2 linked regions of the Arabidopsis thaliana genome follow. The protein of the gene in region 1 purifies or fractionates together with the protein of each later gene. This does not show direct contact. Each region holds a gene or a part of one and is shown on either strand. Other genes may lie near its edges. The genes, in order: AT1G17160 and AT1G72810.

What was found.
Region 2: the proteins of AT1G17160 (region 1) and AT1G72810 fractionate together in Arabidopsis thaliana (co-fractionation; one large-scale study listed by BioGRID). This does not show direct contact.

What each region holds. Positions count from the first base shown.
Region 1 is NC_003070.9:5,856,833-5,873,429, forward strand, and holds AT1G17160 (pfkB-like carbohydrate kinase family protein), read left to right. Parts: upstream 1-10,702; 5' UTR 10,703-10,845; coding exon 10,846-11,508; intron 11,509-11,701; coding exon 11,702-11,887; intron 11,888-12,012; coding exon 12,013-12,208; intron 12,209-12,288; coding exon 12,289-12,383; 3' UTR 12,384-12,604; downstream 12,605-16,597. Other genes in the region: ICR1 (interactor of constitutive active rops 1), read right to left, coding at 1-928, 1,016-1,029; AT1G17145 (RING/U-box superfamily protein), read right to left, coding at 3,519-3,857, 3,940-4,006, 4,341-4,407, 4,504-4,654, 4,753-4,834, 4,924-4,969, 5,058-5,109, 5,206-5,409; AT1G17147 (VQ motif-containing protein), read right to left, coding at 6,822-7,118; AT1G17150 (Pectin lyase-like superfamily protein), read left to right, coding at 8,875-9,024, 9,358-9,666, 9,826-10,344, 10,433-10,663; GSTU24 (glutathione S-transferase TAU 24), read left to right, coding at 13,063-13,377, 13,518-13,859; GSTU25 (glutathione S-transferase TAU 25), read left to right, coding at 15,376-15,690, 15,776-16,126. UniProt on the Arabidopsis thaliana protein: Catalyzes the phosphorylation of ribose at O-5 in a reaction requiring ATP and magnesium. The resulting D-ribose-5-phosphate can then be used either for sythesis of nucleotides, histidine, and tryptophan, or as a component of the pentose phosphate pathway.
Region 2 is NC_003070.9:27,390,647-27,407,243, forward strand, and holds AT1G72810 (Pyridoxal-5'-phosphate-dependent enzyme family protein), read right to left. Parts: upstream 9,829-16,597; 5' UTR 9,748-9,828; coding exon 9,136-9,747; intron 9,053-9,135; coding exon 8,114-9,052; 3' UTR 7,628-8,113; downstream 1-7,627. Other genes in the region: HAB1 (HYPERSENSITIVE TO ABA1), read left to right, coding at 352-1,098, 1,210-1,557, 1,642-1,747, 1,871-2,205; AT1G72790 (hydroxyproline-rich glycoprotein family protein), read left to right, coding at 4,202-5,887; AT1G72800 (RNA-binding (RRM/RBD/RNP motifs) family protein), read left to right, coding at 6,620-7,627; AT1G72820 (Mitochondrial substrate carrier family protein), read left to right, coding at 12,811-13,860; NF-YA3 (nuclear factor Y, subunit A3), read right to left, coding at 15,053-15,439, 15,524-15,697, 15,786-15,860, 15,942-16,033, 16,145-16,442. UniProt on the Arabidopsis thaliana protein: Catalyzes the gamma-elimination of phosphate from L-phosphohomoserine and the beta-addition of water to produce L-threonine.

The sequences.
Region 1 (16,597 bases):
AGCCATTCCCGGTGGATCCATGAACCCAGCTGACGGGTCAAAGAACCCACCTGCATAATACTTCTCAGTTGACCCAGATCGATCCCGACCATTCATCTCAAACTCTCCAGAAAGAACTGCTGCTGCAGCATCCGCTGCCTTCCTCCACTGCTCGGTTTGAACCCTGAGCTTCTTCATCTCAGCCTCTAAAGCATCTTTTGCTTCTTCCATGGACTCAAGCTTCTCCTTCAGGTGAGCCGTCTTTGCTCTGCTTTCTTCTAACTCTTCCCCAATCCTACTCACCTTTGAAACCATCTCATCTTCATTAGCTTTCACATTAGAAATCTCTGAAGCTGAATCGCTCAACTGATTCTTCAAGCTCTCGTTTTCTTTGCCTAGTGATTCATGCTCTTTCTCCATGTCATAGAGTCTAGCTTTCAGCATCTTTATCTCATCTTCCTTTGCAACCAATTTCTCAGCTTCGTCATTGCCGCTTCTCAGTTCTTCTTCTTCTACTGCAATCTTTTCAACGGGAACCTCAAACACATCAGTCTCTTTCTGCACATCACCAGGGATTTCGTCTCTATCAATCCTCTCAGCCTCAGTTGCAGATTCCTCCACTCGAGCCAGCGGGTTTGGTTTCTTGGACTTCTTATGAAGCTCATCTTGAGCTTGTTTCTTCACAGCTTCAGCATTAGCCAACTGCTCCTTGAGCAATCTCAGTTCCTCTTGCGCTTGTCCTAACTGCGACTCTAGATCCGATATTCGTCCCCCAAGTTTCTTCTGACCAAGCGGATCACTGTTAGGTCCACCGCTTCGAGGAGATTTACGGTCAACACCGGGCTTAAAACTTTGATCCGTAGTGATCAGACGGTTGGAATGATTGGAATCAGAAGTAGATGACGATGACCTCAGCCTTGGAGCTTGCCTCTGAGACAACTCTGAAACTCTAGAGAAATACAAACAACAACAAAAAATCTTAAATCACATCATTACTCATGTGAGAAAATGGAGATTTCTTAGTCAAAATCGTAACCTTGGTCTTGGCATTTTGATTTCGTGTTGAGGATATAATAAGCAATAATTCACAACAGAGAAGCCAAAGTTGCTGGAAGCTCGAAGGTTTATGGAGTAACTTGTATAAAACTGAAACGTAAACAAAATCAGTTGTCATTTATTACAGCAACAACCAAAGCCATGACTCATGTCGGAAAATTCCGGGGAACTGAGATATGATTATAATCACGCGCCGTCAAAAGCGCGTGTGTATCAGTGTATGATATGTGTGAGAGAACAAGAGACAGTAATCTTCAAATGAGAAAAACCAGAAACAGAGAAGAGAGTTGTCAAAGCTGGGAACTTATAAACTTTATTTTAATGTTCGTTTGCTACATTTAATAAGCAAAAGGATCCAACTAAAAAGAGTTAAAACTTACCCTCGAAGAAGAAGAAGATGAGGTCAACTTTGCATTTGAAATCCAACAAGTGACTAAGAGAAACTATTAAAAATGGTCAAAGAAAGATTTGCGTTGGCTGATTGTGAGTCAGTAATAGGAACAAGAACATAAAACCAGAAGAATTACCCAAAAATGAGCAGAAAAGAAGAGAGAGAGATAGAGAGTTGTAGTGTAACGCATGTACCTTTTCGAAACAGACAGCTTTATTTGAAGACACTCTCTCAATCCAAGAAGCCTAGACTAGAGAGAGAGAGAGAAAGAAATGGTTTTATTTTATTTTTGAAGATTTGAAATAAAGCTGATCAAATTTAAAATCGAGGGACCATTGGGTAGGAGAAGGGCAAAAGTATAATTTTAAGTCTTGTAATAACGTCCACATATACACACACGTAACGTAACCATGATGTATATAAAGTCCGCATGTTTCATTCTTTTGTTTTATATTGTAAACCATCTTATAAAATGATCTAAAAAATGTAATTTTAATACAAGAGTGAATGTGAATGTTCGTATTGAATATAGATGTTATTTCTCAAATTTATAAGCATCATGTAAATTTTGTAGTTTTTGTGAGTTTTCCCTAGATATATATCAATATACGGTATGTGCCTTTAAATGAGTACAAGGTAAAATCATTGAAGTACAATTTCAAAGATCAGTAATAATAATGTATATAAAGTTCAGGAATTAACACTAAAAGCCTAAAACCATCAATATGGGATATTTAATTTTTGTATATTTATTTTGTAATAGATATATCCAGAGAAATGCATATAAATGTGGATTTATGTCACATAATTAGTTTCAATAGTTTATCATAAATACACACACATGTATATTACCTACATATCAATATTTCTGACACTCTTGTTTCTTTTTGTCGGTTTTGTACATGTTTCAATTTACAAACCTCTATTTTATTATAAACCTTCTCTAATCTCGACGTTTCTTTTTGTGATCTCCAACACGTCGAGAAACCAATTTGATGCTTCTTATAAGGAAAAAATGAAAACGAGATTACAAATTGTATTATTTTATGTAGATAGCATTGAATCGCCGTTTAATATTTGATGGCATGGGTGTCCATATCAATAAACAATTATTGTTAATTTGTTACCAAATAATTTGGATTTCATGTTTTGGTCAATGTCATTAGTTACTATACTAGTTGTAGCTGGCTCTATCATTTTGTTCAAAAATGCTATACGAAATCACTCACCTTAAAATTCAGTTCACGGCCTTAAAAAATCAGTTTCATTATATATTTGTTAACAACTTAATATGATCATTTCCCATTTCGAATATAAACGCAATAGAATTCGACCTAACATGGGTTGATCAAAAAGTAGAAATGCGACTATAATAAATAATTTAGAGCAAACATATTTTTATTAGTTGTTGGAAATTAAATGTAAATGGACGCTCTAAAGTAAGAAAAAGGTGAAGTGTACTTATTCAAGAATGAAAGACAAAAGCATGTGAGTAGAGGAACTCTTAAGTAAATCACTTCAAGGCTAAAAAAACCCTTAAACTCCCAAAGATGACCACCACTCTCACTCACACTTCAATTTATGTTCTCTCTTCTCATTTAATATCAAAGAGACCAAAGCATGTGTATCTTCATTTTTGTCGTCCTTTCTTGACATTTCCTCAACTACTAACTAACTATTCTTTTACTCCTTTAGCAAATCCCCCATTCATCACAAACTCTTCCAAACTATTGCTTTCATTGATAAAAATACATGGAATTGCTAAAATGGCAAAATCCCTCATTGATGCTAAGGTTTTACCAATAATGGAATCTCACGGAATCACGATTTATATTCCCCTTTTTTGTAAATTATATTCTTCATTTCATTTTTGTGCAATGCTTACCATTCATAATAATACAACCAAACAACCAACCTTCTGTAGGAGGAATTGAAAATCGTTTTGGTTTTTCTTATTGGCACATGTATGAAGTGATCAACATACACCCTCAAAACTAACTAACAATCTAAAACCATTCACTCCCGCTAACATAATATAAACAAAAGACTATATAACAACTTTGAAGCTTTCCTCTTTACCTTTGGGAACTCTCTATTGCCATGTAACTTCCCTGGAAGTCTCACCGCCGCTATCATCAGTCATATCTGATCTTGTATAGCTGATTCCTGCTCCTTGAAGGTAATGGTTACTATCCTGTTCTATGGCATTGTAATGACTGTTGTTACCATTGTCTGGAACAAGGTTTTGTGATGCAAGGTTAACGTTTTGATTCGAAGAAGATACGCCAACCATTTGCTGACGTTCGGCAAGAACAGCAATTGCACAAGCTAGCCCACCTGATGGAGATGATGATGACGGAGTTGATGGTTCCTCATTACGATCTTTTTCTGAAATATCATCAGGTGATGTGTTTCTCTGAATTCCTGGTTCCTGTTAAAGAAAGAAAATAGTTAGGCTTATCTTATTCAGATAAATGCTATATACTTCAAAGTTTACTAACCAAACAAATTACCTGCATCGAAAGCCATATTGCTTCCATGACCATTATATCTTCAAGATCAAAGTCAAACTGACCGTCCCTGAAGAGTTTTCCAGATAACCACATATCAGTCACCTGATATGAACCACTCAGATTCAAAGTTCCAACACGTATTACCGTTGTGCATATAACTTTAGCCAGAAAGGAATGATCTGAAAATGTAATACCATAACTGACTAATAAGAGACAATTTAAGAAGGGGTTCATTTTTAAGTTTTAACTGTAACGGTTCTCGAAGCATCAAAGTTTCTCAAGAGATAGGACTAATACAAATGAAATTTAACAGCTAAATAGAGAAAAAGGCTGTTCATACAACCCCATGGCATGGATACTCATAAAAGTCATTTAGGTCCATTTCTAGGAAAATGACAAACCTTGTAACCTGAGGGTGGTGAGATGGAAGACATGATTCTTGAGATGAAACAATTTCCTCATCATCCTCTGCGTAAAAGCTACTGATTGAGATTGCGAACCAAGAATAACAAAAGTGGTAAAATTTAACACATGTTGAAAGTTGAAACCGAGAGAAGAACTAACCTGCAGCAGAACCATACTCTGTATCAAGAGTCGCTGCACTAGTGCTAGAACTAGAAGAATATGACTCCAGACGTTTCTGCATTCTTTCTTCATCATCTTCAACTTCCTTCTGCCTCATCCTTATTTTGGCTTCTATAACTCGCTGCTCTTCCTTCATAACACAGAGATAACAATATTGGCAGAATCAGCCAGTAATTCCATCACATACTCTTAAAAACAATACTGTTTCAAGATTTAAGTCTGGCTTACAATTTGTTCAAAGCTCTTCTCCTCTTTAGTTTTCCCTCCACGATACTCGACAGCATAATTGGATGTTTTGCAAAAAGGGCATCTTACATATGATAAGGAGGACTCAAAAGTAGACATTTTCATATGTAAAGAAGACCAAAAGCTTAATGCAAACTATAAGAAAAAGGATACTGAGTAGGTTGAGCTGAATTAGGACTCTTCATCCGCAGAAAGCATTCTGTATAAAACCAAACACAAAGTCAATGACTACACCGGATAAGAAACATTCTATAGTTCAGAGATGACTAACAAATACATTTCTTCACCTGTACAAATGCTTTTCATACAACATCTTGACCTATTAAGACTCGGATAATACTAGAAACACAGAAGAACAAAAAATTGCATGAGAGTTGGTCAATTTCATCTTCTTGAATGAGGAAGTAAGCAAAAAAGGAAAGACTTAAAACAAACCAGAAAGCAAATAGGACATTCTTCAAGATCATGATGGGAGGAGGGGGTTTCTTCAAGACCAGGATAACAAGGAGCAAGCTTAGACTCTAAGATGAGTTTCTTAAGCTTTTTAATGTCAACATCTTTGCTCATGTATAAACCTTGTTGTGGCTTTGTGTATCTTTCGTCCACAATCTGTCTCTTCCTTCCCAGCTTATTACCCATTTCGTCTCTTTAAATGCCTTGAAATTAAGATAGTAGAGAGACATAATAAGAACACTCAAATAGAAATCAATTTCACTTTCTACAATTCACAAAACGCAATAAAGAGCTTGTAGCAATCCAAAGCCATTTCCTTTTTTCCGAAACTAACAAACAAAGTTTAAAACCCTAAATTCCAACCGTTGATAAGAATTGAAGCAACAAATCTTTTCAAACAGAAGAAAATTTGCAAACCCTTTGAATATAAATGAGTAATAAAGTTTGAGTCAGAGAAGAAACCTTAAAAGCTTCGAGAATCGAAGAGACTTAGATAACGAATGATAAGAGAATACAAAGATCAGAACTTTTCCTTTGCGAAAGAGATATACAGTAATGTTGTCGTCGTGAAGAAGAAAGATCCGATGAAGAACGAAGAACGAAACGGTGGAGTTAGTCGGATACGAAAGAAATGAATCGTCGTCATCTCTTTTGTTTTCACTCTTCCTCTTCTTTATCGTCACGCGCCCCTCTCGCGCGTTAACTTTCTCCACGCTTCTTCTTTTTTTTTTTGTTCCTTCTGATATTTTGTCGTAAAATCTGATAGACTATTATTGTTGCAAATATTTATTTCAAAAAATAATATAAGGGTCGAAAAAAAACTTTCAAAAAAAATAAACAAACTATGCTACTAATGATTTTATTGATTGTCTTTTTTAAAAAAGTGAAAGATAATCTACATATACATTTTTGCAGCCACTTTGTGAAATAAATTTTCAAGTTGAGACTTATTTACAGTGGCTACCACTGGCATTTAATAATTGTTTTTGATAATTAGAAAGTAAATCTTCGAATTAAATGTTTGCATTTAACTACCTTTCTAAAATCTCTCTGCATTAACTATACCATTAATTACTAAAATAAAATTTCCAAAATATTTAATATCATTTAAATACTACAAAATTATCATTTTTGATATTGCTTTTTTTATGACTATAACAATTCGATTATAAGCAGCAAACCGTAAAGATATTTGATAGCAATTAATTACTACAAAATTACAAAATATTTAGACAATGATTCATAAACATATCATAAATAAGATCAACATTAATAAAATAAATAGTTTTTTTTACGAGACGGGTTGGCGGGACGGGTTTGGCAGGAAGCTACTTAATAACAATTGTAAACTATAAAATAAAAATATTTTATAGATAGATAAAATTTGTAAACTTTTATATATACTAACTTTAAGGAAATAAATTGTCTCCGCGGTATACCGCAGGTTAAAATCTAGTATAATACATTAATGCATTAAGCAAAAAAAAAGAAGTTCACCTTCTAAGGAACATTCGTGTTTCACATAGGCTTGAGATAATAATATTAAACCCAATGGGCCTTAATATTGTGGGAAAAAAAAGAACGAATTATTAGTCTAGTCAATGGTCTGACCAAAGATTATACAATTCGCCGACCGGAGGCATCTCTCTGAAAAAACTATCGAACTCCGTCGTCTCTACACCTCTTTCTGCTTCTTTTCCTACGCCACAAAACCGCTGTGATGAATCTTTGCCACCGTACCCTTGACCGGAGAATTCATAAGGACCGTCGGCGACGACTGCGTTTTTACCTGTGAGTTCTTGAACAATTGTCTTGAAGCTCCGAGCATCTGTCTGAACGTACTGTGTGTTAATGAAGACAACCTTCATCGGTTCAGATCTCACTCCTGCAGACATATTTTTGGCGTTATATGAGATTTTTTCTTTTGGTTTGCTCTATTGAGTAGTATGCCTTTTGAATCTCCCCGATATTGGTTGTATTTATATGTGTAGATAAATATATGGGAATATATATAATATTTGTGGGGAGACCGAACTTTTATCATTTTATTGATTTTTAGTTATTGTTTAGAAACATTTATTATCATGGGGACTCCTAATTAGTATTATGAACTATATGGATAAGAGAGCAGATTCTTTTATTGATATAGCATTTATATTCTATATCCATAGTTGTGGATTGGAAAAGAATATTATTATATAGATCGAATGATATTTTGATTCTAGAAATTGCTTACGTGTGGAGTTACGATCATATGCTTTCATGACTAATGACTAATTATATACTGATTAGATATCAGGGAGTGGCTCAAATTTTCCACTATTTAAAGAAATTAGAATCAACTAATCAAACGTTTTTTACCAAAAAAAAAACTAATCAAACGTTGCATATAATAAAATCTATTTTAGAGTTTTTGTAACGACGGGGTCAACTGAAACTGGAGATTGTCACTTATTTCAAGAATTTCTATACACATGTGGGGTTTATTTTTTGCAACGTTTCACCAATATTTTTCATTAATTATTGATAGACAAATCTGATAGTTTTTTTATTTTATTTTTACACTAGTTTGTTAGATGTTTTTATGTTCATTTGTATGTTCCTTGACCATAAGGAAATTATTTTGTGGTCTTTTCAATTTTATTGTATTGGTCTTTGACGAGATTCTTGTACGGGTGAGACAGGTTTGACCGTTAACATTCAAGCAGCCTTGACGGACCAAATAATAAATGGGCTTTTGTTATTATTATGTGACCTTTATTTAATATCGATCGAAAGAATCAGTATTATATAGTGTAATGGGTCAAAGCACGCCTTATTTGATGGAATATTGGAATCACATTACATAACGTGAAACCAGCCTAAGATGCATACATAATTTACATATGCAGAACAGGTTTTGATATCTTTAGAATACTATAAGAAATAAGAAATTTGGAGTCTATGTGACTACGTTACTCAGTAACAAAAAAATGATTCCTCAGCATTGGTATATAAGCATATTTCGATTTTTGTATTATAGATTCCTTGATATGTATATAACTATATAAGTGTTTTTTTTTATATTATATGCAAACTAAAAATAAACTGTATACAGGTTTTAGTAGTTGATTTTTTTTTTCCTTGATATTTTTTTTTCTAAAAAAAAACAAATTCTTTCTAAAATCTTCATACAGCAAGATAACGATTCATATATTACTATTTAGTAGTTGTTTTAATAAAGGTAATATATATTTATTTATTTTTTGGTCAAAATAAAGGTAATATATATAGTAGTTTTTTACTGCATTGATGTAATTTGTTGCATGATTTTAAGAATATTTGATACAACTAATCTCACCAGATCAAGACCCCAAAGACAAATAAAATATATGAATCGTTATCTTGCTGTATGAAGATTTTAGAAAGAAATTGTTTTTTTAGCCCAAAATTGGTATAACAAGAATCAAATTTTTTTCGCAGATTTCTTAGCATATATAGTTCCTTACGATGTATTTCTTTTAAAAAGACCAAATCGTATTGTCTTTTAAAGAAAGTACAGATTTCTTTGTTATTTCAAAAATCCAAAAAAAAAAAAGAGAAAGGTTGAAAAAAACAAACAAAAAGAAAAACAGAGAAATAAATAGAAGCATGCAGTGCCAAAAGAAGAAGATGGCGCCGTGCATTGATTTTGTGTTCATGGCTTTTGGTTTGCTTCTCTTGCTCATCGCCGTCACAACAAGTCGCCCAATCACTCGGCCAAAAGTATTCGACGTTCGAAGTTATGGTGCTAAAGGTGACGGTAAAATGGATAACACCAATGTAAATGACATTTTCTGCTTTCTTTAACTAAATATTCTTTCTCAACTTCTTCATTCATTTCACATAGAATGTCGATTGACTCAATAAAAAAAAAAAATAGGAATAAACCTTTTATTTCCAAAAAAAAAGAATAACGGGCTATTTACTTGCTTTTTAATATTTGGATTAATTAAAATTAACTAGTTCAATTTAACTACATATTTTCTATTTAGTTATTTGAAGAGCGTATTCATTTATGTGTGTGTGTGTAACAAAAAAAAATTGAATCTTATAAGTTACTAAGAGTTTTTGTCTTACAAATAATCTACCTTCTTTGGTAATGTCTCATATAAGGCGTTCACAAATGCATGGAAAGATGCATGCAGATGGAATGGACCAAGCAAAATGTACATACCACTAGGAACATTCTATCTTGGTGGTGTAACGTTTGTAGGACCATGCGATGGTAAGATCTCGTTTGTCATTGATGGAACTTTGTTGGCTCCTCCGAACAACGACGACATTAAAAAGGAAATATGGATAAACTTCCGCTACATCAACTATCTCACGGTCTTCGGGGATGGCACCCTCGACGGCCAAGGAAAAAAGTCATGGTCACTAATTGATTGCCAGAAGGACAATAATTGTCCCAAACTCGCTATAGTACGTACGCTTTCTTGAACTTTCTTTTTATAGCTACTGTTTTTATGGATCAAACTGAATATTTTATGTCATTATATATATATATAACTTTTAAAAAGAGAATCTTGAAACATAAACTTGATTTAATCATATTTTCATGGTGTTTTGATACATTTGCAGAATATGGGGTTCGATTTCGTAAAAAACTCAAGCATGAATGGGATAACATCACTCAACAGTAAAGCCGGACACTTCAATTTCTTATCCGTTGACCACTTCAGCATCACTAGAGTCAACATAATAGCTCCCAGCAATAGTCCCAACACTGACGGAATCAAAATAGCTTTATCAAGTAACATGCAAATCTCAAACACTCACATCAGCACCGGAGACGATTGTATCGCAATGCTCTCTGGAAACACAAATTTTGATATCTATAATGTCAAGTGCGGACCGGGACATGGAATTAGTATTGGAAGCTTAGGAAAAAACAAAGACGAAAAGAATGTTAATGGTTTAATGGTTAGAAATTCGGTCTTTACCGGTACGACCAACGGTATACGGATCAAGACATGGGAATCTTCAGCTTCAACAATCCGAATTATCAATTTAGTGTATGAGAATCTACAGATGATAAATGTTGAAAATCCTATCGGCATTGATCAAAAATACTGTCCTTACCCGCCATGCAGCAATATGGTAACTTACTATGCAAGAAACAAATTTCTATCTTCTTAGAATCTTCATCGACTTTAAAATTAACATGTTAGTTCATGTTTTATCGCAGGGAGATTCTCACATTCAGATCCGAAACGTGACACTAAAGAACATTTGGGGAACATCAAAGAATAAAGTGGCTGTGAAATTTCAATGTAGCAAAACCTTTCCTTGCAAAGATGTTCAGTTAATTGACATTAACTTAACTCACCATGGAGTCGACGGTCCTGCAAGTGCGTTGTGTGAGAACGTTGATGGATCTGCTACTGGGAAGATGGTTCCTCCGCATTGTCTAAGTTGATCCAGTCCAAACATAGTCATGTACTCATGTTGTTTATTTTTTGGTTAACATATAAATAACATTAATGATCATAACAAACATGGATATATCTTTAACTTACATATAATTCTCAGATATGTTTAGTTGTTGGTTCTGAGTTGTGACATAACAGCGATTTCATAAAAGCCAAAAATCAAATAACGATGATGAAAGGGATCTCTTCAGTTTCTCAATCGATCAATTATAATCCATACATCGAATTCAATCGACCGCAGCTTCAGATCAGTACTGTGAATCCCAATCCAGCTCAATCTCGATTTTCCCGCCCTCGATCCCTCCGTGTTCTCTCACTCTCCGCCGATCCATCGGCAAATCGGAATCCTAAATCAGCCGTTGACGCACACGCGCCGCCACTGGTGGTTGTGGGATCTGCGAACGCCGATATCTATGTGGAGATCGAGAGATTACCCAAGGAAGGGGAAACGATTTCGGCCAAGACAGGGCAAACGCTCGCCGGAGGAAAAGGCGCGAATCAGGCGGCGTGTGGAGCGAAGCTAATGTATCCGACTTACTTCGTTGGTCGTTTGGGAGAGGACGCGCACGGGAAGCTAATAGCTGAGGCGTTGGGCGATGATGGGTGTGGGGTTCACTTGGACTACGTGAGATCTGTGAATAATGAGCCGACGGGACACGCGGTGGTGATGCTTCAGTCGGACGGTCAGAATTCGATCATTATCGTTGGTGGTGCAAATATGAAAGCTTGGCCTGAGATTATGAGCGATGATGATCTTGAGATTGTGAGGAATGCTGGTATTGTGCTTCTGCAAAGGGAGATCCCAGATTCCATCAATATTCAAGTTGCTAAGGTCCATTTTTTTACTTTCTTGAGTTAGTTACTTCAGTGAGAGTTGGTTTAGGGTTTAGGGAAGCTCTGTTGAATGGATGCAGCTGCTTTAGGTTTTGAAAACTATGAGAGGTTTTGGAATAGGGTTATAGAGTTGATTATGTTTGAAATATCATGTTCGAAGAAACTTAGGCTGCTGGTGGGTTTTATTGCAGGCTGTGAAGAAAGCAGGTGTTCCAGTCATCCTTGATGTGGGAGGAATGGATACGCCTATACCAAATGAGCTATTGGATTCCATTGATATCTTGAGCCCCAATGAAACTGAGCTCAGTCGCTTGACAGGAATGCCAACTGAAACTTTTGAACAGATTAGCCAAGCTGTTGCAAAGTGCCATAAGTTGGTAAGTCCCTTTCTTGCACATTATTAACTCCAAATTTTGGCTAATCCTTGCTGCTACTGGACTCTTTGAAAATGCTGGTTTAGTGGCTTTTGGGTTTAAAAGGTTTAAGGCTATGTTTTCCTCAGGGAGTTAAGCAAGTTCTAGTAAAACTCGGGTCCAAAGGATCTGCACTATTCATACAAGGGGAAAAACCAATCCAGCAGTCTATCATACCGGCTGCACAAGTGGTTGATACTACAGGAGCTGGGGATACTTTCACTGCAGCATTTGCAGTCGCTATGGTAGAGGGCAAGTCCCATGAGGAATGCTTGAGATTTGCTGGTAATAATTAGTGACATAAATCTGGTTTTCTAACCCGTAATTCAGATTAGTTTTGTCTCACTTTTTTCCGATGCCTGCAGCTGCAGCTGCCTCTCTTTGTGTCCAAGTAAAGGGTGCAATACCGAGCATGCCTGACCGAAAATCTGTTTTGAAGCTCCTTAAATTTAGTATCTAAAACTGATACTCTTTTCAAGTCCTCTTATCAATAAAAGTTGTTCAGATTTCATCCTCTATTTTCATTTTTTTTTTCTTTTTCATTTCACTCAAATTTTATAAACAAAAACACAATTCACCAGAAACAAGTCTTAGTTAAGTCAATTGTCCAAAGCATGCTGACGCAGGCAGTGGCCTAAGCAACTAACGAGAATCTCTTTTTTCTTCTTCTTTGAAAGCAACTATCGAAAATCTTTATAATTAAATAAAGATTAGCGTACAACACTCATTTCTCACATAAATCTGTTGTCAAAATAATATAACTTGTATTTAACAAAAATATGTGAACATTACATTAAAAAAACTGAATACTGATCAATATTAAGAACCTAAAAAGTAAAGAGGGAATTTTTGACTTATTATTCGCAAAACTCATAGTATTGATATGAGTGACACCCAAACAAAAAAATGATGTAATCAAGTGCGCCAAAAGGAAAGAAAGAAAACAATCCGACTTAAAGAAGACAAACAACGAACAACAACTGTAGAACTAATTTAATACAACTTTTTTGGCTTTAAGAGCAAGCAAAATGCGATTCAAAACCCCTAAAAATTACCAAACATATTTTCTATTCATCACACATATAGACACAAAACAGCAAACGAGAGAGGTCGTAGTGAGAGCTTAATCAAGAGCAACAATGGCAGATGAGGTGATTCTTCTGGATTTCTGGGCGAGTATGTTTGGGATGAGGACAAGAATTGCTCTGGCGGAGAAAAGAGTTAAGTACGATCACAGAGAAGAAGATCTATGGAATAAGAGCTCCTTGCTCCTCGAGATGAACCCGGTTCATAAGAAAATTCCGGTTCTCATCCACAATGGTAAACCGGTATGTGAATCTCTCATTCAGATCGAGTACATAGACGAGACTTGGCCCGACAATAACCCTCTCCTTCCCTCCGATCCTTACAAGAGAGCTCATGCCAAATTCTGGGCCGACTTCATCGACAAAAAGGTAGAAAATTTACGGTTTGGTTTTGGTTTATTTTGTTGTTTCTAGGTTTTGGTTTCGGTTTAAGTATTTTGGATTGGTTTGGTTCGGTTTCTTCCGCTAGAGTCTCTTGTGTAAGTTTTTTGTTTTTACCAACGGATCAGGTGAATGTTACGGCGAGAAGGATTTGGGCGGTCAAAGGTGAGGAGCAAGAAGCAGCCAAGGAGTTAATCGAAATACTCAAGACGCTAGAGTCTGAGCTTGGAGACAAAAAGTACTTTGGAGACGAAACTTTTGGGTATGTAGATATAGCTCTCATTGGATTCCATAGCTGGTTTGCAGTGTACGAGAAGTTTGGAAATGTCAGTATCGAATCTGAGTGTTCGAAATTGGTTGCGTGGGCCAAAAGGTGTTTGGAGAGAGAGAGCGTCGCTAAAGCCCTGCCTGAGTCAGAGAAGGTCATTACATTCATTTCCGAACGTAGGAAGAAACTTGGGTTGGAGTAAATCTCTACTTTGTTATGTTGATCTGTTGTTGCTTTGTTCTATTTTCTTTGAGGTCTATGTAATGCATAATAATACCAATTTCAATTTGTGAGATTATATTTCCCTTTATGTAAACTCGATTTCAATAAAAGAAACTTTGTTGTGATGTTCATTCAATGGAGAATTGTTGGTACATTAATCTGGTTGCCATAACGGCGCTTGCTCTAATACCAAAATCGACGTAAATATATGATAAAGATTAAATTCGTTGATTCAATGAATAACCTCACATGTGAACAAGATTTGACGATCGTGATTCAAAAAATATGATTAACTTAGTTAAATAACCAGGAGAAATGCTAAACCGGTCGAAAAGAAGAATACAAGAATGAAACAAACTAAGTGAAAACTTTGAGCCAAAGAAAAAAAAACTGAAGTGAAACTAAACCGATTAGCAAACCCCGATTAAGAACTTTTTAACCAGACACATCTAAAAATCGTTGGATATTTGGCCCAAAGATAAGTCATTTAATCATTTGATTTTTGAAGTATTGGAAAAAATGTTAAAAGCAAATAGTTATTATATCTTACCATGCAAACTCATTCTACACCGTTTATTTGTTTAATCGTTTATTGGTTATTTTATTTTTGTCGTTAGATGCACAAAAGATACAAGAATGGGGACAATGTGAAATGGGAAATGGATGCCAAACACATATAATGAGATATGCATATACTCTATATTTTTAAAAAAGAGGTATGTATAATTGTATATTAATCAATTTTATTAGGTTTCAGACAGCTAAAATTTGTTTTTTTGTTTTTTTTTCGTCATCCTTAAAGTAAATATAGTCCTAACCAAAGAAAAGTAACCAATAAAAAGTTTGGAAAAAGTGAAGGTAAAAAGGTATGATGGCGTAAGCAGTGGCATAATCAATTCAACTCTGTGAATCATGTGGTCAATGTCTTGAACCGCAAAACATTAATAAATGAGTTGTTCAACTAAATAATTGTATACTACTCGTTACCAATCTCTAGGTTTAAGCTTTCTGATTTAAAATTTGTCACATAAATTTTACACCAAAATATTTATTAATTCCACATTTTAATATAAAGTACGAGAAACTTTACACGAGAAGAAATCAACATGAAATTTCAACATATAAATTACAAACCCCCTTGATAGTTTTTTTTTGGTATGTATAACCCCTTGATAGTTGATATACTCATATTCAATAACACAAAGTATTGAAGCTAAATAATCTCTGACGACTTTTAAACTAAAGCTAATGAAAAGAAAATGTTTAATCAAAAGTTTATTCCCTTCATATTAAAATGCTTTAGTGCGATGAGATTTAGTGTAATGGGCACGTTAATGCATTTCTGACTTTAGCGGCAAGCAAATGCGATTTCGTTTGTAGTTTTGAGTTATTGTCTCCTCTATAAATTGACCAAAACCTTGTTCTCTTCACCATAATATACTTAGACACAAAACAAACAAACAAAAATATCTTAGTGAGCTTAATCAAGAACAGCAATGGCAGACGAGGTGATTCTTCTTGATTTCTGGCCGAGCATGTTTGGAATGAGGACGAGGATTGCTTTAGAAGAGAAAAATGTCAAATTCGATTACAGAGAACAAGATCTGTGGAACAAAAGCCCGATTCTCCTCGAGATGAATCCGGTTCATAAGAAAATACCGGTTCTCATCCACAATGGTAATCCGGTATGTGAATCACTCATCCAGATCGAATACATCGACGAAGTTTGGCCTAGCAAAACCCCACTTCTTCCTTCTGATCCTTACCAAAGAGCTCAGGCCAAATTTTGGGGAGATTTCATTGATAAGAAGGTAATCTATCTTCCAAAAATAAGCTTAAAAATCAAACCCTTCTTAGGCAAGACATAGACGTTAATATTTCGTATAATGTGCTTAGGTGTATGCTTCAGCGAGGTTGATTTGGGGAGCTAAAGGCGAAGAGCATGAGGCGGGGAAGAAGGAGTTCATCGAGATACTCAAGACACTAGAGTCTGAGCTTGGAGACAAGACTTACTTTGGAGGTGAAACATTCGGTTATGTTGATATAGCTCTCATTGGATTTTACAGTTGGTTTGAAGCGTATGAGAAGTTTGGGAGTTTCAGCATTGAAGCCGAGTGTCCAAAACTGATTGCTTGGGGTAAAAGGTGTGTGGAGAGAGAGAGTGTGGCTAAGTCTCTTCCTGATTCGGAGAAGATCATTAAGTTCGTTCCTGAGCTAAGGAAAAAACTTGGGATCGAAATCGAATAGATTCTACGCTGATATGTTTTTATGTTTCTGTTTGTGTTGCTGTTTCTGCTCTGTTTCATGTTCTGTTTCTTCCTTGTTTCGGAAATCTTTAAGATAATGTCATCAAAATAATACAAATATTTACTTGAAAATTCGGTTGGGGTGGTTAAGCATGCGTAATACGTTGCATTAGCTTCAATTTTTTAGATCTTCATTGCGATGATAAGTCTAGTAAACCGAATTAAACCAGTACCAAGAAAATCCAATCCAAAATCTAAAACAATCGATTTGTTTTATTTTTTCTTTCCCCTTACTAATTACTATTATAGTATTATCAAAACAAAGCGTCAAAGAAAAAAAAAACTAACAAACCGACTACATTGTTGATTTTATTAAAATAGATTTTGGTGGAGTGCCAAATCTGAATAAATTATCGAGGCTGTACTAAACCAAAACTAATGAGTAATGACAATTACAATTTGTAATCTTTGT
Region 2 (16,597 bases), about 22 Mb from region 1:
TCAAGATAAGGATTTGAGAAAAGATCGACGAAGTTGTTGCGATTTTGGGATCAAGAGAGTGATATAATCGAGTGAGGAGAATTCGTCGTATAGATTCGTCAGATCTGGTTATCTCCGGTACTTAATTCTCCTTGATTCGTCGTTTTAACTATGCTAAGTTAGTGTATGAATAAAGCGGCATTTGGGTCGCTGACAAAAACTTATTTGGAGCAAGGATTCTTCAACATCATGAAACCATTGCTTAGAGTATTCGAAGAAGAAGATGAAAACAATTGATTTCTCCTAAGTCCATCTTTGAAATTTAAAGCTTTGTTGTGGTGTGGTGTGGAAATCTCTGATTTTGGAGAGCTCATGGAGGAGATGACTCCCGCAGTTGCAATGACTCTTAGCTTAGCAGCCAACACCATGTGTGAATCATCACCTGTCGAGATCACTCAGCTAAAGAACGTTACTGATGCAGCTGACTTGTTATCTGATTCTGAAAATCAAAGCTTTTGCAACGGAGGGACTGAATGCACTATGGAAGATGTTTCTGAACTGGAAGAGGTAGGTGAACAGGATTTGTTGAAAACTTTATCCGATACGAGAAGCGGGTCTTCCAATGTTTTTGATGAAGACGATGTATTGTCTGTTGTGGAGGATAATAGTGCTGTCATAAGTGAGGGCTTGTTAGTTGTTGATGCAGGCTCTGAATTAAGCTTGTCTAATACAGCTATGGAAATAGATAACGGGCGAGTTCTTGCAACCGCGATTATCGTAGGCGAATCAAGCATTGAGCAGGTTCCCACCGCGGAAGTTCTTATCGCGGGTGTAAATCAGGATACCAATACTTCGGAGGTTGTCATTAGATTGCCAGATGAAAATAGTAATCATCTGGTGAAAGGGAGAAGTGTTTATGAACTAGATTGTATACCGCTTTGGGGCACGGTTTCCATTCAAGGGAATAGATCTGAGATGGAGGATGCTTTTGCCGTGTCACCTCATTTTCTGAAACTACCCATCAAAATGCTTATGGGGGACCATGAGGGTATGAGTCCAAGCCTCACACACCTCACCGGTCATTTTTTCGGTGTTTATGATGGTCATGGAGGCCATAAGGTATGCTATATTCACATTTTATGTAAGTTGTTTTAGCAATGTAGATTGTTATACACCTCTTTGAGATGTTCTGGTTAAATTCATAGATTTTAAATCTACAATGGCTTGTAGGTTGCTGACTATTGCCGAGATAGACTCCATTTTGCTTTGGCTGAAGAAATAGAACGTATAAAAGACGAATTATGCAAGAGGAATACAGGAGAGGGTAGGCAGGTGCAGTGGGATAAAGTCTTCACGAGTTGTTTTCTAACTGTCGATGGTGAGATTGAAGGAAAAATTGGTAGAGCCGTTGTTGGTTCTTCTGATAAGGTTCTTGAGGCTGTTGCGTCTGAGACCGTAGGATCAACTGCTGTTGTTGCCTTGGTTTGCTCATCACATATAGTAGTTTCTAACTGCGGTGATTCGAGGGCGGTTTTATTCCGTGGCAAAGAAGCCATGCCCTTGTCAGTTGATCACAAAGTAAAATGAACTTCCTTTTCTTTCCCCAATCTAACTTACAAAGTTGATAAAAGTGTTTTCTTACCTCCTTCCATTTTTCTGCAGCCAGATAGAGAGGATGAATATGCAAGAATAGAAAATGCTGGAGGCAAAGTTATACAATGGCAAGGCGCACGTGTTTTTGGTGTTCTCGCCATGTCTAGGTCCATCGGTAAGCATTGCTTCTTTTGATGACCAGTAATGCACATCACACAAACGTGGCTTGATAATGTAATTACTCCCCTACATGAAACATTAGATCCTCCGGTTTCTTTCCTCCTCTGGAACTATGCAGGTGACAGATATCTGAAGCCATATGTGATCCCAGAACCGGAAGTGACATTCATGCCTCGGTCAAGAGAAGACGAGTGTCTCATACTAGCCAGTGACGGTCTTTGGGATGTAATGAACAACCAAGAAGTCTGCGAAATAGCAAGGAGACGGATATTGATGTGGCACAAGAAGAACGGTGCACCGCCTCTAGCAGAGAGAGGCAAAGGAATAGATCCAGCTTGCCAAGCCGCAGCTGACTACCTCTCAATGCTTGCTCTACAAAAAGGAAGTAAAGACAACATCTCCATCATTGTGATTGACTTGAAAGCTCAAAGAAAGTTCAAGACCAGAACCTGAAGCTTAATTACAAGCAGTACGCTTACTTACTTTTTTTTTTACTGGGGGTAAGTTTCGAGTTTTCGTATAATTTAGATCGTTAAGGATCTAATTTCGACAGGTTTTTACATGTTAATTACTCAATATTGTTAGAAGGGAGAAAAAATAAAGAAAAAAAATGGAAATGCGGGTTGGGGAGGAGAAGTAAAGACTAAAGACTGAAGATTAAGAAGATGATGCATAGCTAATTATAAGTACATTCCTTTTTTTCTCATGGTACTTGAATTCGTATGTATAAGAAGAAATAGGCAGAGAAATGCTTTTTTTTTTTGGGGTATTGAAATAGTTGAATATGTTGTAATAGTTTGAGAGATGTGGCAAATGAAATTGTAATTGAAACTATGTCACATTAACCTTCTTGCATTTGTCTTTTCATGTTGTGTTCTTCGCTGTTCTATAACTTAACGGTGAGATGAGAGTTTATTGGGGGTTTAACCACAGGTCGATTTTTATTTTGATGTTAAGTATTGATAAAGCAATACACTTAGCAAAAGGTGGACGTGCCGGAGTGGTTATCGGGCATGACTAGAAATCATGTGGGCTTTGCCCGCGCAGGTTCGAATCCTGCCGTTCACGTTTTTCATTTTTTTTTCTGTTATCATCACATTTTCCATAACTTACCTTAATCATCTAACATTTTAGAGTCTTTACGAAATGTTAATATTTCTTTTCTTAAATTGAGTAGAAATAGAAATCAACCTCATACCTACAAATGTGGAAGTGACGTGTGAAACCGTAAGTGTATTTAAATCAAACTTAGAAAGCTGTTAATCATTGGCACCACATAAAATCTAGCTTGTGAGAGAAAGTTTATCGTTTTTAGATAAGTTATCAAGATAACAAGACTTGATTAGATTATAGTATGTTGCCTTTGACGGTTTGGCCTGGCCATTTGTAAAAGCCACGACAACACCGGCTCTCATATAATTATTAAAAGACTAATTAGTAATCACGGCCTCAGCTTCACATAGAAAACGTGTTTATTAACACGTTAGACATATGATTCCGTTGAACAATTTTGATTATTTGACGTACCAATCTGTATTTGCTTCATGTAATCCAGCTGTATTAGTAGGCCTTTCTTTGTATTTCCCATTTCCAACTTTCACAAGCAAATACCACCATTTTCCAGCTTGTCTAACAAGTTATTAAAATAAAAATAAAAAATTCCCCCAAAAAAATCATGTGTCAATTGAACCTTCTCTTAGGCATGACCGTATGACCAAAGTTTGGTTCGGATTTTAAAAGATCAAGATTTGACAATTCTATAAAAAAAAAATTTGGGTGTAAATGTCATTTGTCTAGAGTATGGTTAAGATACTAGAACCTTTTTCTTTACAAGTTCAAAATTCAGAATTAAAAAAATGTAAGATTTTCAGAGTTTGTGGACATCAAATTATCAGGTAATATGGATAGTTTGTGAAAATTGCAATATCTATCTATACAACTAATCATTGTGAAACATACATTTAGGACTAGGGAGTTAGATACTGTTGTGTTGCCGAGACTCAAACTCAAGAACTGGTCAGATGTACCGAGTAAAGTTGTATATAGTCAACTAGTACATATTTGAACATTATACAATTAATTCAGATATCCTCTACGTAAAATGCGCAATGTATTTTCATGTAATAAATAAATATATATGCAAATTGATGAATTTGACATAGATATTCAACTAAATACGTCAATTATCCGATTGCTTGTCTCCTATAAAAAATCTCTAAAATACTCCAAAGACATATTTTTTGTTGTAAAAAATGTGTAAATTAAAGTAAGAATCCACAGAAAGAAAAAAAAACAAATAAAAATGACCAAATCCAAGTCCCCAAGCATTTTAAAAAACAAATATCAATCCAAGCAAAAGCATAAAAGCAAACACATTACAGCATCGTAAGCCAACCACTCTTAAACTAAAAGTTGTCTTTCTAATCAAAAGCCAAATAATAGAAAGAGTATGGAAGAAGATGATGGAGACGCGTCTACGCCGTTTTGGCTTCAATCACGCCGCAATAACACTTACTTCCGCCGCACTGCAAGTCTCGGTGGCCGTACAACCACCATCGCCACTCAAATATTCTTCGCCGGAACAGCTGCAATCCTCATAGTCGTCTTCATTATCCCTCCTTTCTTCTCCTCTGTTTCTCAGATTTTCCGACCTCATTTAGTCCGTAAAAGCTGGGATTATCTCAACTTCGTTCTCGTCCTTTTCGCCGTCCTTTGCGGCTTCCTCAGCCGCAACACCAATAATGACGAATCCAATCATCACAAAGAAGAAGACATTCGTAACAAATTCTCGACTTCACCATCGATTATTGATCGAAGAAGTCGTGTATCTAACAGTGGTACAACGCCGCGTTATTGGAACGATGATCGCGGTGGTGGCGGCGGTGATCAAACGGTGTACAAGAGGTTTAGTAGATTACGAAGTGTTAGCTCGTATCCAGATCTGAGGCTCCGGGAATACGAAGCCGATGAACGGTGGAGATTCTACGATGATACACGTGTAAGTCAATGCCGTTATGAAGATGTAGATCCGATCTATCCAAATCAAAGTTACAGAAACTGGCATGAGGAAGGTAAACCACCGCCGGAAGATGTAGATCAAACAGAGGACGGTGATAATGGAGAAGGAAGTAAGGTCCGTAACGGCGGTTCGGAAACTGAGAAAGTTGAGGTGGTTGCGACGGCGGAAGCTGAAGTAGTAGAAGAGCTAAAAGTGCCTTCTGCTCCGCCGTATATTCCGTCTCCTCCGCCGTCTCCGCCACGTCCTCCACCAGCGAAGCAAGCGAAGAGAAAGACTAATAGAGTGTACCAAGATGTTTCTCCACAGGAAGAGAAGAAAGAAAGAGATGATTTTGTAGCGACGACGACGCCGATTCCACCTCCGGCGACTGTGTATCAAAAGAGCAATAAACAGGAGAAGAAGAAAGGAGGAGCAACGAAAGACTTTCTGATTGCGTTACGGAGAAAGAAGAAGAAGCAGAGACAACAGAGCATCGATGGCCTCGATCTCCTCTTCGGCTCCGATCCTCCATTGGTCTATTCACCACCACCGCCGCCGCCTCCTCCACCACCTTTCTTCCAAGGGCTTTTCTCATCCAAAAAAGGTAAAAGCAAAAAAAACAATTCAAATCCACCGCCTCCTCCTCCTCCACCACCACCTGAACGGAGATATGAATCACGCGCATCAACCTCGAAGCTCCGAAAAGCTCCGGTGGAATCACGGACATCCAAACCAAATCCGCCAGCTAAAGTAACTCAATACGTAGGCACAGGAAGCGAATCACCACTAATGCCGATCCCGCCGCCGCCTCCTCCTCCGCCGTTTAAAATGCCGGCTTGGAAATTCGTGAAGCGTGGAGATTACGTCAGGATGGCTAGTGACATCAGCATAAGCTCCGACGAACCTGATGATCCGGATGTAGCTCAATCAGCTGGAAGTAAGGAGGCCGCCGGGAGTATGTTCTGTCCGAGCCCCGACGTAGATACCAAAGCCGATGATTTCATCGCAAGATTCAGAGCCGGACTCAAATTGGAGAAGATGAACTCTGTGAAAAGAGGGAGATCCAATTTAGGACCCGAACCCGGACTTCATGAATCCGGATCTTCAACGGGTTATAGGCCCAGCCCAAGCGTATAGAGGCTATTTCTTTTAGATTTTGGATTTTTGGATTACTACTGTGTTGGTTTTTTTTACCTTACTTTTGTTTAGACTTTCTTATACGTAATTTTGTGGTGTATACAATTCCTAGTATCCGTTTTTACAGTTTTTAGCCCATCTTGGGATGAACCAAAAAAAATCTCTATACAACTAGTTTTTCTTGTAATACTCTCCATTTTTATTTTATTTTGAACTATGTTTGGATGGAGAACTTATAGCTTTGAAAAATATATTCAATATTTTTAGAAAAAAAAGAAAAAAATACTATAGCTTTAATTTTATATCATCAAACAAGAAACAAATTGATAGGTATTTATAAATATTTAATTTGATTAACTCAACTTTTTAATACACAGCCAATTGAAACCCCACTTCTTTGCCTTTTTTAGTCGATTCCACTTTTTTTTCCCTTCTAAATTAATGAAAAAACTTTGTTAACAATAAAATACATAATTAAAAAAACATTTGTAATAATTTAATAATTTATCAAAAAAATAATAATATGGCGGCAATGTTGCGTTACAAAAACGCCATCTTTTATGTAATTGTAACCTAATAACAGCAACGTGACGATGAACCACCACCGAGTTGCGTTAGAAAAACGCCATATATCTTTTATGTAACCTAATATATATATCTTAAACAACAGGCTTGGATTATTGTCTCTCGAAAACCTAAAATCGCTCTTTCTCTTTTCTTGTCATCTTCTCCATGGCTGAGTCTAGCAAGTTATCCGCAACCACAGTTGAAGCAGCTCCTGCTATGATTAAGGCCAAAGACGTGATTTCTCCTTCCGAGAAGGAAGAATCTGATCAGACGGAGATCACGAAAGTATCCGTCTTGAAAAACCTTGATGAGAAGGAGATGATCAAAGAATTCGCTGATCGTCTTCAGCGTCTCGAAGCAAAGGTGGATTTGTTGGTAACAAAGGCGGATTTGTTGGCAATAAAGGCGGATATACAGGAGCTTCTCATCTCAGCCAAGGGTGAGAAAGTTCCTGCCATGAAGACTTCTGCTAAGGCTTCTTCTGAGAGCGATGACTCATACATGGACACTTCTTCGGAGGATGAATCGTCTTCTGCTGAGGAACCTGTAAACAAACCTGCTGCAAGTGCCGCCAAGCCAGCTACTAAAGATTCTTTATTCTCTGCTGGTTTCAAGCCAGCTGCTAAAGATTCTTTATTCTCTGCTGGTTTCAAGCCAGATTCTTTATTCTCTGCTGGTTTCGAGCCAGCTGCTAAAGATTCTTTATTCTCTGCTGGTTTCAAGCCAGGTTCTTTATTCTCTGCTGGTTTCGAGCCAGCTGCTAAAGATTCTTTATTCTCTGCTGGTTTCAAGCCAGATTCTTTATTCTCTGTTGGTGTCAAGCCAGCTGCTAAAGATTCTTTATTTTCTGTTGGTGTCAATGGTCGATCGTTCTCTGTTACGGGATTTGACGCTTCCCTTCCTGTGGATGATATAAAGAGCGCATTGAGTAAATATTTCAGTTCTTTTGGGGAGATCACACGCGTATTTGTTCCCCCAAGCCACGGAACCGGTGGTTCCTTAGGATATGCTTACATTGATCTGAAAGAAGGAGCAGAGAAGGCGTTGGAACTTGGTAGACATGACGTGGGAGGATGGGATCTTGTAGTTGGTAAGGCTGAACCGATTCGCAGTGGAAGTACTTGGCCTTTTCCTGGCCGTTGTGGTAATCAGGGCCGTTGTACCTTCTGTTGAAGGCTTGAACCTTTGGTAGTGCATGAAGGAAGAGACTGCTCGTGGAACTAGATCACCTAGTTTTACTCCCTAAAGTAAGAAGACTACCTAGAAGAAGAGGAACGTTTTAAATTTGTATTACTTGGGAGTTTTTTCTTATGTTCTAGTTAAGTTTTTGACCCAATGTTAATGTTAACTCAATTTTGAGTTCTTTTGGTTTTAAATAAGATGAAAAAAATTCTTGAAGTTAATTTTCTAGATAAGTTTATTGTTTCTTAAAAGATTTAAAAGAAGAGGTTAAAAGACAGGTCGTGAGTACTTTTGTTAAGAGCATATGTAAAACTCAGTAGTAGTTTGATATGAAACAACTAGCGAGCATCACGGAACCAACCAGTCGTTTTATTCCACAAGTCCAAAGAAACGAAATTTCATTACTTCCTCTAATAACAAAGCCAACAATATCATCATAGGACGTGAAGAGCTTTAGAAGAAACAAACACACAAAGCTTATTTATCATTGCTCTTCAAATACTCCTTGAGAACATCCATAACTGAACCAAACTTTGCCTTAACCTTCACTGGTGGATTCGCCAATCTACAAGCCATCTCCTTTATGTTCTTAGAATGATAATCAATCTTACTTTGTGTAAACTTCAATCCATGAGCTGTACTCACCACCACAGTCCGATCATTCGCTCCAATAACTCCTGACTTTCTCAGCTTCATCAACGCCGTCAATGCAACACCAGTATGTGGACATATAAACATACCAGTAGAATCAGCAAGAGCTGTTGCATCCATCAACTCTTCCTCTGTAGCTTCCTCAACAATCCCATTAGATTTCTTCAACGCATACACAGCTCTATCAATCGAAACAGGGTCACCAATCTGAATAGCAGAAGCAAATGTAGTGTTTGCTTTCAATGGATTGAAATCTTCTTTAAACCCAGATTTGTAATGCAAGTAAAGTGGATTTGCATTAGCAGCTTGAGCACAAACAAGCCTAGGGATACGATCAACAAGACCTAACTCTTTACACATATGAAACCCTTTGTAAAACGCATAGATGTTACCAAGATTGCCTCCAGGAACAATGACCCAATCAGGAACTTGCCAATTAAACTGCTGCAGAATCTCAATCGCCGCCGTCTTTTGACCTTCGAGACGGAGGCTGTTGAGAGAGTTCGCCAAGTAAATAGGAAGCTCCGCCGTAACTTCTCTGATCAAATGCATACATCCGTCAAAATCAGTGTCAATACTAAGCACAAACGCTCCGTTTGCAATCGGCTGCACAAGCTGAGCCATGGAGATTTTATCCGCAGGTAAGAAGACAATCGAGGGGATTCCAGCGGAAGCACAGTAAGCAGAGAGAGCAGCGGAGGTATCTCCAGTAGAAGCGCAACCAACTCCGATGACTGGTTTGTTCATTTTCCGGAGACGATTCACCTGAGAAACAAAAAAATAACATAAAGTTGTAAACTTTATTGAAGATGGTTATACAGTTGTAAACTTTATGAAAGATGATTCACCTGAGAAACGAGAACACTCATGCCCAGATCTTTAAAGGAGCCAGTGTGGCTGATTCCACAATGTTTCACCCAAAGATCGTTCATTTGCAGATACTGTTTACCAAATCTCTCAGCCCAGAAGAGATTTGAGTTTCCTTCAAAAGCAGAGACGATGTCGTCATCGTCGATCTCGGGGAGTACCCACTCTTTCTTCGACCACACGCCTGATCCGTACGGCCAATTTGTTTTACCGACGCGAGAATCGAAAAGGTTACGCCAGAATTCTCCGTCGTAGCGTTTCAAGGCGGCGAAATCATGCTGGACGTCGAGGAGAGCACCGGATTGTGAACGGTAGACGATCTCGTCGAGGGAGTAGGATTCTGTTGAAGAAGGTGGAGCGTTGAAAGGGACGTAACGTGCGGAGAGGTTTTGGAGTTGATGAGGACGGCGACGAGCTTCGTCTCGAATGTTCTCATCGGGTGAACGACGGGGTTTCTGTGGAGTCTGTGGAGGAACGGCGGGAGAGGCGGAGGTGCAACGGACGGTGAAGGAAGCGGCGGAGTGAGGTTTAAGTGAGGTTTCAGAGTGGGAAGGAAAGTAGGTGGCGGAGTGGGGAAGAGAGAATGAGGCCATTATGAGTGAGAGAGAGAGTAAAGTGAAGAGTTTGATGATATTGATTGGATAGAAGAATGATTGTTGACACCTTTAGTCACAAGTCACAAGTAATTTATTTATAACCTAATAAATATTGGGACGAAAGTATTCATTTATTGTTTGTTTTTCATTTGTCATTCCAATTTCCAAATTATGTATATATCTCTCTAGTCATGAATTTTCTTTTGATGGTAGAGAAAGCACCAGGGAGAAATGAATCTTTGACGTTCATGAATCTAGTGTGAATTTAGTGTTTAAGATATCAAATATGCAAAAAAAAAAAAAAAACACGTATGTATGGAGTACATGAGACATGTGCCACACATGAAGTATATTCTTATGAGTAAAATGTTACTATTATTTGTATGGATTATTAGTCATGAATTTTCTTTTGATGGTAGAGAAAGAAGCACTAGGGAGAAATGAATCTTTGACATTCATGAATCATGTGTAAATTTTAGTGTTTAAGATATCAAATATGCAACAACAAAAAAAAACACGAATGTATGGACTACATGAGACATGTGCCACACATGAAGTATATTCTTATGAGTAAAATATAATGTTACTATTATTTGTATCTATTGTTCTTTGTTCTTCTAATATATATTTGTGATTTCGTCCCATTTTATTAATCAAATAAATATATTACAAGCGACGGAAACAAAAAATAAATAATAAATGTCACTATCTTTTTGTCATTTTAAAGGACAAAAATAAATAATGAGATGAGACTATGAGAGCAACATTCATACAAAGTAGACGACACTTCATAGTTCATATTAATGTATATAGGTATGGAGTTTATGATCTTAACGTTTTTGGAAAAGAAAAAGAAAGTAAAGGACACCACTAGTTATGGGTCCTCCTTTTCGTCACATTGGGCGGATTGGGTCAAATATACAGTCATTGTGAAAAACCAGCCCAATAAGCTTATACTTCAAATAAAAGACTTGAATTAGAATTGATTCAAACTCTGAATACCTCAACTAACCGTTGTGTGTTCTCTCTAAATTTGGGTAATAGTGTTTTGGGGTTTGGGAGAGAACGACACAATAAATGAGAAGGGATCCCTTTTCTGTATTTTAAAGCGTTTTGATAGGGAACTTGAGAAATTTGATTTCATGATTCGTGTACTTTTTTGTTATGTTTGTGACTCGTGATCTTTTGCTCGATAAAAGCTTTCCATAGTTTTTGTTGGTGCTTTAGTCTGTGGAAACTGCTTATGATTTGGTTCTTTTATCTCCAAGTTGTGGGCTGAAATAATGGTCATCACCAGTTGATACAGAACCAACAGTGTTGTTCGTCACTCAAGCCCATCACAGCTATAATGTTCTTTTTGGAATCAAATCACATGGTTGGAATCAGTCTAAGCTTGTCTACTCACTTTAACATCTAATCTGTTGAAGATAAGGATTAACGATGTAATAAGTAAGCGTGGACCGAAAAAGAAATGTAGTATATGTTTAGGTAGTGGGCATTTCCAAATACTATAGTATTGATTTCTGTTGTATATTTGATTTGATACTAAAATATGTGAAACTCCCAAAGCTAATTAATACTATATTTTTGTAATCAAGTTATGTCAGTAAATGATACAACGACAGAAAAATGATTTCTGTTGGTGTTTGGTAGTATCATACTATTGTCCAAGGACCACCACTGTTCCTATAAATTTAGCATCTCTAGGAGGAACTCTGATAAATCTTTAGATTCTTTTTTCATAAAAAAAAATATAGCTCGAACGATAGTGGAAGTGTAACAGTGAAAAAGAATCAAAAATCACGTGACAGATCACGTGCCTCTCACACTGCCTTCTGCTCTCTTCTCTGCCCAACGACCCAAGGATATGGACGCCACGTCATCTTATCCAAATCACAAAAGCGGATCCATTTTCTCTCTCCTCTGTTGGGTCTGATCCGAGAACAAGATCTTAGCCGTTGTTTTCGATGACGACCTTTTAGCTTTTTTCTATCTCTGCCGTCGATCTTCTTCGTCTTCTAAGAGTGCTCCCAGTTTGTCGCTTTCTTTATCCGTAAGAGTTTAAGACCTTAGTCATGAGTGACACGTGTCACCTGCCAGCATCTGATTTTTACCAGATCTTCCTTATTTCCTTAATAAATCCTTTAATATTCGATAAAAAAAAATCTGTAATTCAATCTTAAATTAAGCAAACCAATTTGCACATCGTGATCATTTTCTGATTACATTTTGCACAATATGGAAACAATATAAAATCCATTGATGATACACTTAGTTGAATCAAAAACTAAAACATTTCCACTTTATTTGTTTCGGTTAGGTCAATTTTAACCGGTAAATTTGAAAACTGTAAATGGCATTTTGTTACATAGAGAAATCAGCTAATCGAACCGGAAAATGCAAGCCGGTTTATAATCTATACCGGTATCTCAATTTGGTATATTTACAGGGGGAAAAAAACCGGAACCCTAGACTCGCTCGTAACAGTATAACTGTATAAGGTCTCATTTTCGTGTGCTCTCGTCGCGATTACTCTCTTTGAGCTCTCTCTCTCTCTTCTAACATCGGTCTTGTATTGGTGCTTATTGGATATCTCCGGCGAAGGAAACGAGTTTCGCGGTTAGATTTTTCTTTATCGCTTACCGGCGAGGATGATCGTTTCTTCGGTAAGGTCGATTAATCGGTTCTGTTTTCGAAGATGTTGTTGTTAGAGTTAGATCCGCATGGTTTTGGTGATCGTTTTGGATCGAAGACGTGGTTCCACAGACGCAAAAAATGCCGTCGTCTCTTGCTTTGAGATTTGGCTTCTGAAATCTTTCCTCTTTCGTTCTCGTTGAATCCTAATTTTTGTTTTGTCTTTTTTAGAAATTTTTGGTCTTTCTAATCCTGGGGATAGGTTACAGTCTCCGATTGTAAATAGAAATTTGCGGCGAGGTTAGGAAAAGTTGTACAGATAGAGATTGAGCTCTGAAACACATCTCAGGAACATTTTTTGTTCCTTGTTTAAAAAAGTTTTTTTTTTTGTGTGTGTTTCTCTGGGTTGGTTAGAAAGTGGCGAAGATGAATTTGGGTGCGGCCGAGGAAGAATCGGCTCAGGAGATTCATTTACCAGCTGATATCAATTGGGAGATGCTTGATAAATCCAAGTTTTTCGTTTTAGGCGCTGCTTTGTTTTCAGGGGTATCTGGAGCTCTTTATCCTGCGGTTTTGATGAAAACTCGGCAACAAGTGTGTCATTCGCAAGGTTCTTGTATTAAAACTGCGTTTACTCTTGTGAGACATGAAGGTTTAAGGGGATTGTACAGAGGATTTGGAACTTCTTTGATGGGAACTATCCCTGCTCGTGCTTTGTACATGACTGCCTTGGAGGTTACTAAGAGTAACGTAGGCTCTGCTGCTGTCAGCTTGGGGTTGACAGAGGCTAAAGCTGCTGCTGTTGCTAATGCGGTTGGAGGTTTGAGTGCTGCGATGGCTGCACAGCTTGTTTGGACTCCTGTTGATGTGGTTAGCCAAAGGCTTATGGTTCAAGGAAGTGCTGGTCTTGTTAATGCATCAAGGTGTAATTATGTTAACGGGTTTGATGCATTTAGAAAGATCGTTCGCGCTGATGGACCGAAGGGGTTATACAGAGGGTTTGGGATATCGATTCTGACTTATGCGCCGTCTAATGCTGTTTGGTGGGCGTCTTACTCTGTTGCACAGCGGATGGTTTGGGGTGGAATTGGGTGTTATGTCTGTAAGAAAGACGAAGAAAGCGGGAACAATAGTACCACGATGAAACCAGATTCTAAAACGATAATGGCTGTTCAAGGAGTTAGTGCTGCGATTGCTGGAAGTGTTTCTGCTTTGATTACAATGCCACTCGACACAATCAAGACGAGATTGCAGGTTCTTGATGGGGAAGATAGTAGTAACAACGGGAAGCGTGGACCGAGTATTGGACAGACTGTAAGAAACTTGGTTAGAGAAGGTGGATGGACGGCTTGTTATAGAGGATTGGGACCAAGATGTGCTTCAATGTCAATGTCTGCAACAACTATGATCACTACCTACGAGTTCTTGAAACGGCTTTCTGCTAAGAACCATGACGGGTTTTATTCTAAATCATAGTGATAACAACTGGGAATCCACATAGAAGAATCTTTTATGGAAATGTCTCTAGTTTTCTTACTTATCTTGTTCTTTATCTAGCTCTTCTGCTATTTCATTTGTTTCCAGTCATATGTAAGGAATGTGTTAAATTCAGTTGTTTTTAAATAAATAAATGTTCTTTCCACATTGGCTTGAATTCAGTTTCCAGGTATCGGTTCACCATAACCGTGCTACTAAACCGACATGATATGTTGCAATGTTAAAAGATGACTTGTAAGACTTTATTTGGCAATTGCAGTCTTACATCAATAAGCACACACGACAAGCTTTGATTTGGCAACATGTTATATTTAGAAGTAATTCATGAATCACTTGCGAAAGTGATATGTACAGGATTGTGACTTTATATATTTCACAATGCTGTCTTTTTCTTTACAGAAGTTAAATTATGATCATTTGTTAGTATTTGAGGGACACAAGTGTGTGTGTATCTGTCCCATAAGTCAACGTGTTTTGGAGCAGTATTTTACGTTTCTTCTTACCTTATCAAAATATTATATCTTAAATAGGAAATAATGCATAGAGACTGCCTTGATATTTTGAAAAAAATATTCATGAACGTGTGGAAGAAATGGTAGTATTTTCAAGTGTATGACATCTTCTCAGACAGATAAAATGAGACTCAAAGTAGAATCTTTCAACCTTTTTTACTTTATTTATAAGAAGTGTATCAAGAATAAGACATAATCTAATATATACTGGATTCTTCATTAAATGTTTTCTTAAACATTGTCAACTAAATTGTAAAATACTTCAAGAATCCGAATGTGTCTCTTCACAGAAATCAATGGAGTGGAACCAGAATCTGTATTTTTCTTCGCCATTTTCAAACAGAATAAGGAGACTTCTTCATTGCCGACACAAATGAAGCAAAAACAAACATATATAAATCCTGAAAAAAACAAAAGAGGAATTGAAAGTTTATCAGAAGAATCATATCACTAGTTTAGACAAGAGATCCATGGTAACAGAAGATGAAAAGGTAATAGAGTGTTTCAAAGTGAAGATCTTGGTCGTTCTTGTGATGTCTAACACAGACATAATATGAAATAAAAACACTGAAGTTACAACAAGCGAAAGAACTAGTAGTAGCCAAGGATGACTTCCCCTTCTTGGTGGGAACATGAACACAGCACCAAGATCCACTGTCTCAGATATGGACAGAGAAATGGTGCATGTCTCCACCTCCATGCATGTCATTAGACTGACCATGAACAAGCATGGCTCGGTTTATCGGAGTTGGGAAACCTGAAAACTGGAATTCAGTGTGTCCAAAGATATCAGCACCGTCGGAAACAGAGGTGATGTCTGAGCCAGAAGTGGTTGAGCTGCGGTCTTTGTTGTTCTGCAGCATATGAGCTTCGAATCTAGACATGTTGGTCTTTCTGTTTACCTGTTGGCCTAACTTGTCCTGTTCTTGTTCTCTAGCAGCAGCCTGTTCGGATTCTTGAAGAAGTTTTTTGGTGTTTAGGAATCTTCCACCAGATCCTCTTGGCCTTTTAAGAGCATGAACATGTCGAGACTCATGAAGATAGGGCTGTTGCAATAAGAAAAAGAAAAGATGAGCAAAGCAATTCTACGTGTATGCGTTTGTTTAAAATATAAACCAAAATTTGGTAACTACCTTACGGGCTCTGATTAGTTTGTTTTGAGCCTCAAGCTTAGCACGTTGCTGTCTCCTCCTCATAATTGCGTGGTATTGCTTCGCATTGACAAAGACTGGATCAGTTTCTGTGAGCTCTGCTGGTAAAGGAACACGACCAGGAATCATACTCACCATTTGAGGATTGCATGTCTGCAAAAGAGATTAAGAGACTTGAGATCTGATGGACAGATAAAACTGAAAGGTAAATCTCCCACTTGGAAACGAAGGGTGTACTTACTGGTGCCTGTGGTAGGTAAGTTGCAGCTAATAAACCACCATAATGTGGATCAGCATAGTGAAATGAGAAATTAGCCTGAACCATGTATAAACATAAGATATCAGTCTACAATCAAAAGCTTTGCTATGATTACTGTATTCATAGAGTTACAAATACCTGTGCAGGAGCAAAGTGAATATTCGGAAATCCAGTCATCGAGCCTTGTTTAGGATTACTTGCAAACCCCTTCCGTTGAGTTATTTCAGATCCTAGAGAAACAACTGAGAAAGTAAGAAAGAGGATAACATTCTTTATGGCAAAAGGATGATTCTTTTGTCAATGACACAAGAAGTAAAACATATATATACCAACAATCTAACCTGATTTAGCCGAAAAGGAGATTTGTCTGGAAGGATTATCATCACCACTACTAGCAACTTCAGTATAAGATTGACCAGTGGACTGTGTTGAAGATGAATCTTGGTCCTGAAAACTGATTTGCTTTGTAGTTTGTATATGCCCAGGTCTTGAATCAACCTTCAAGCTTAGTGATTCAGCAGAACCGCGACGATTAGCAACGGAATCAGTTGGAACCACTCCCCAAGAGATGCTAGTATTAAGGTATGGCAAAGTGGAATGAGTAGCTGAATCTTTCTTATTCAACATCTGATGCATCATAACGTCTTCCTTAACAAGCTAATTATTCTCACAACCAACAACCTAAATAACAATCAAAAATGACTCAAAGATTAGATTTTTAAAGCTAATAATCCAAGTGGGTGAAAAAACCCAGAATAGAAAGAAACAGAAGTTGGAAGTTTCTAAATTTGAGT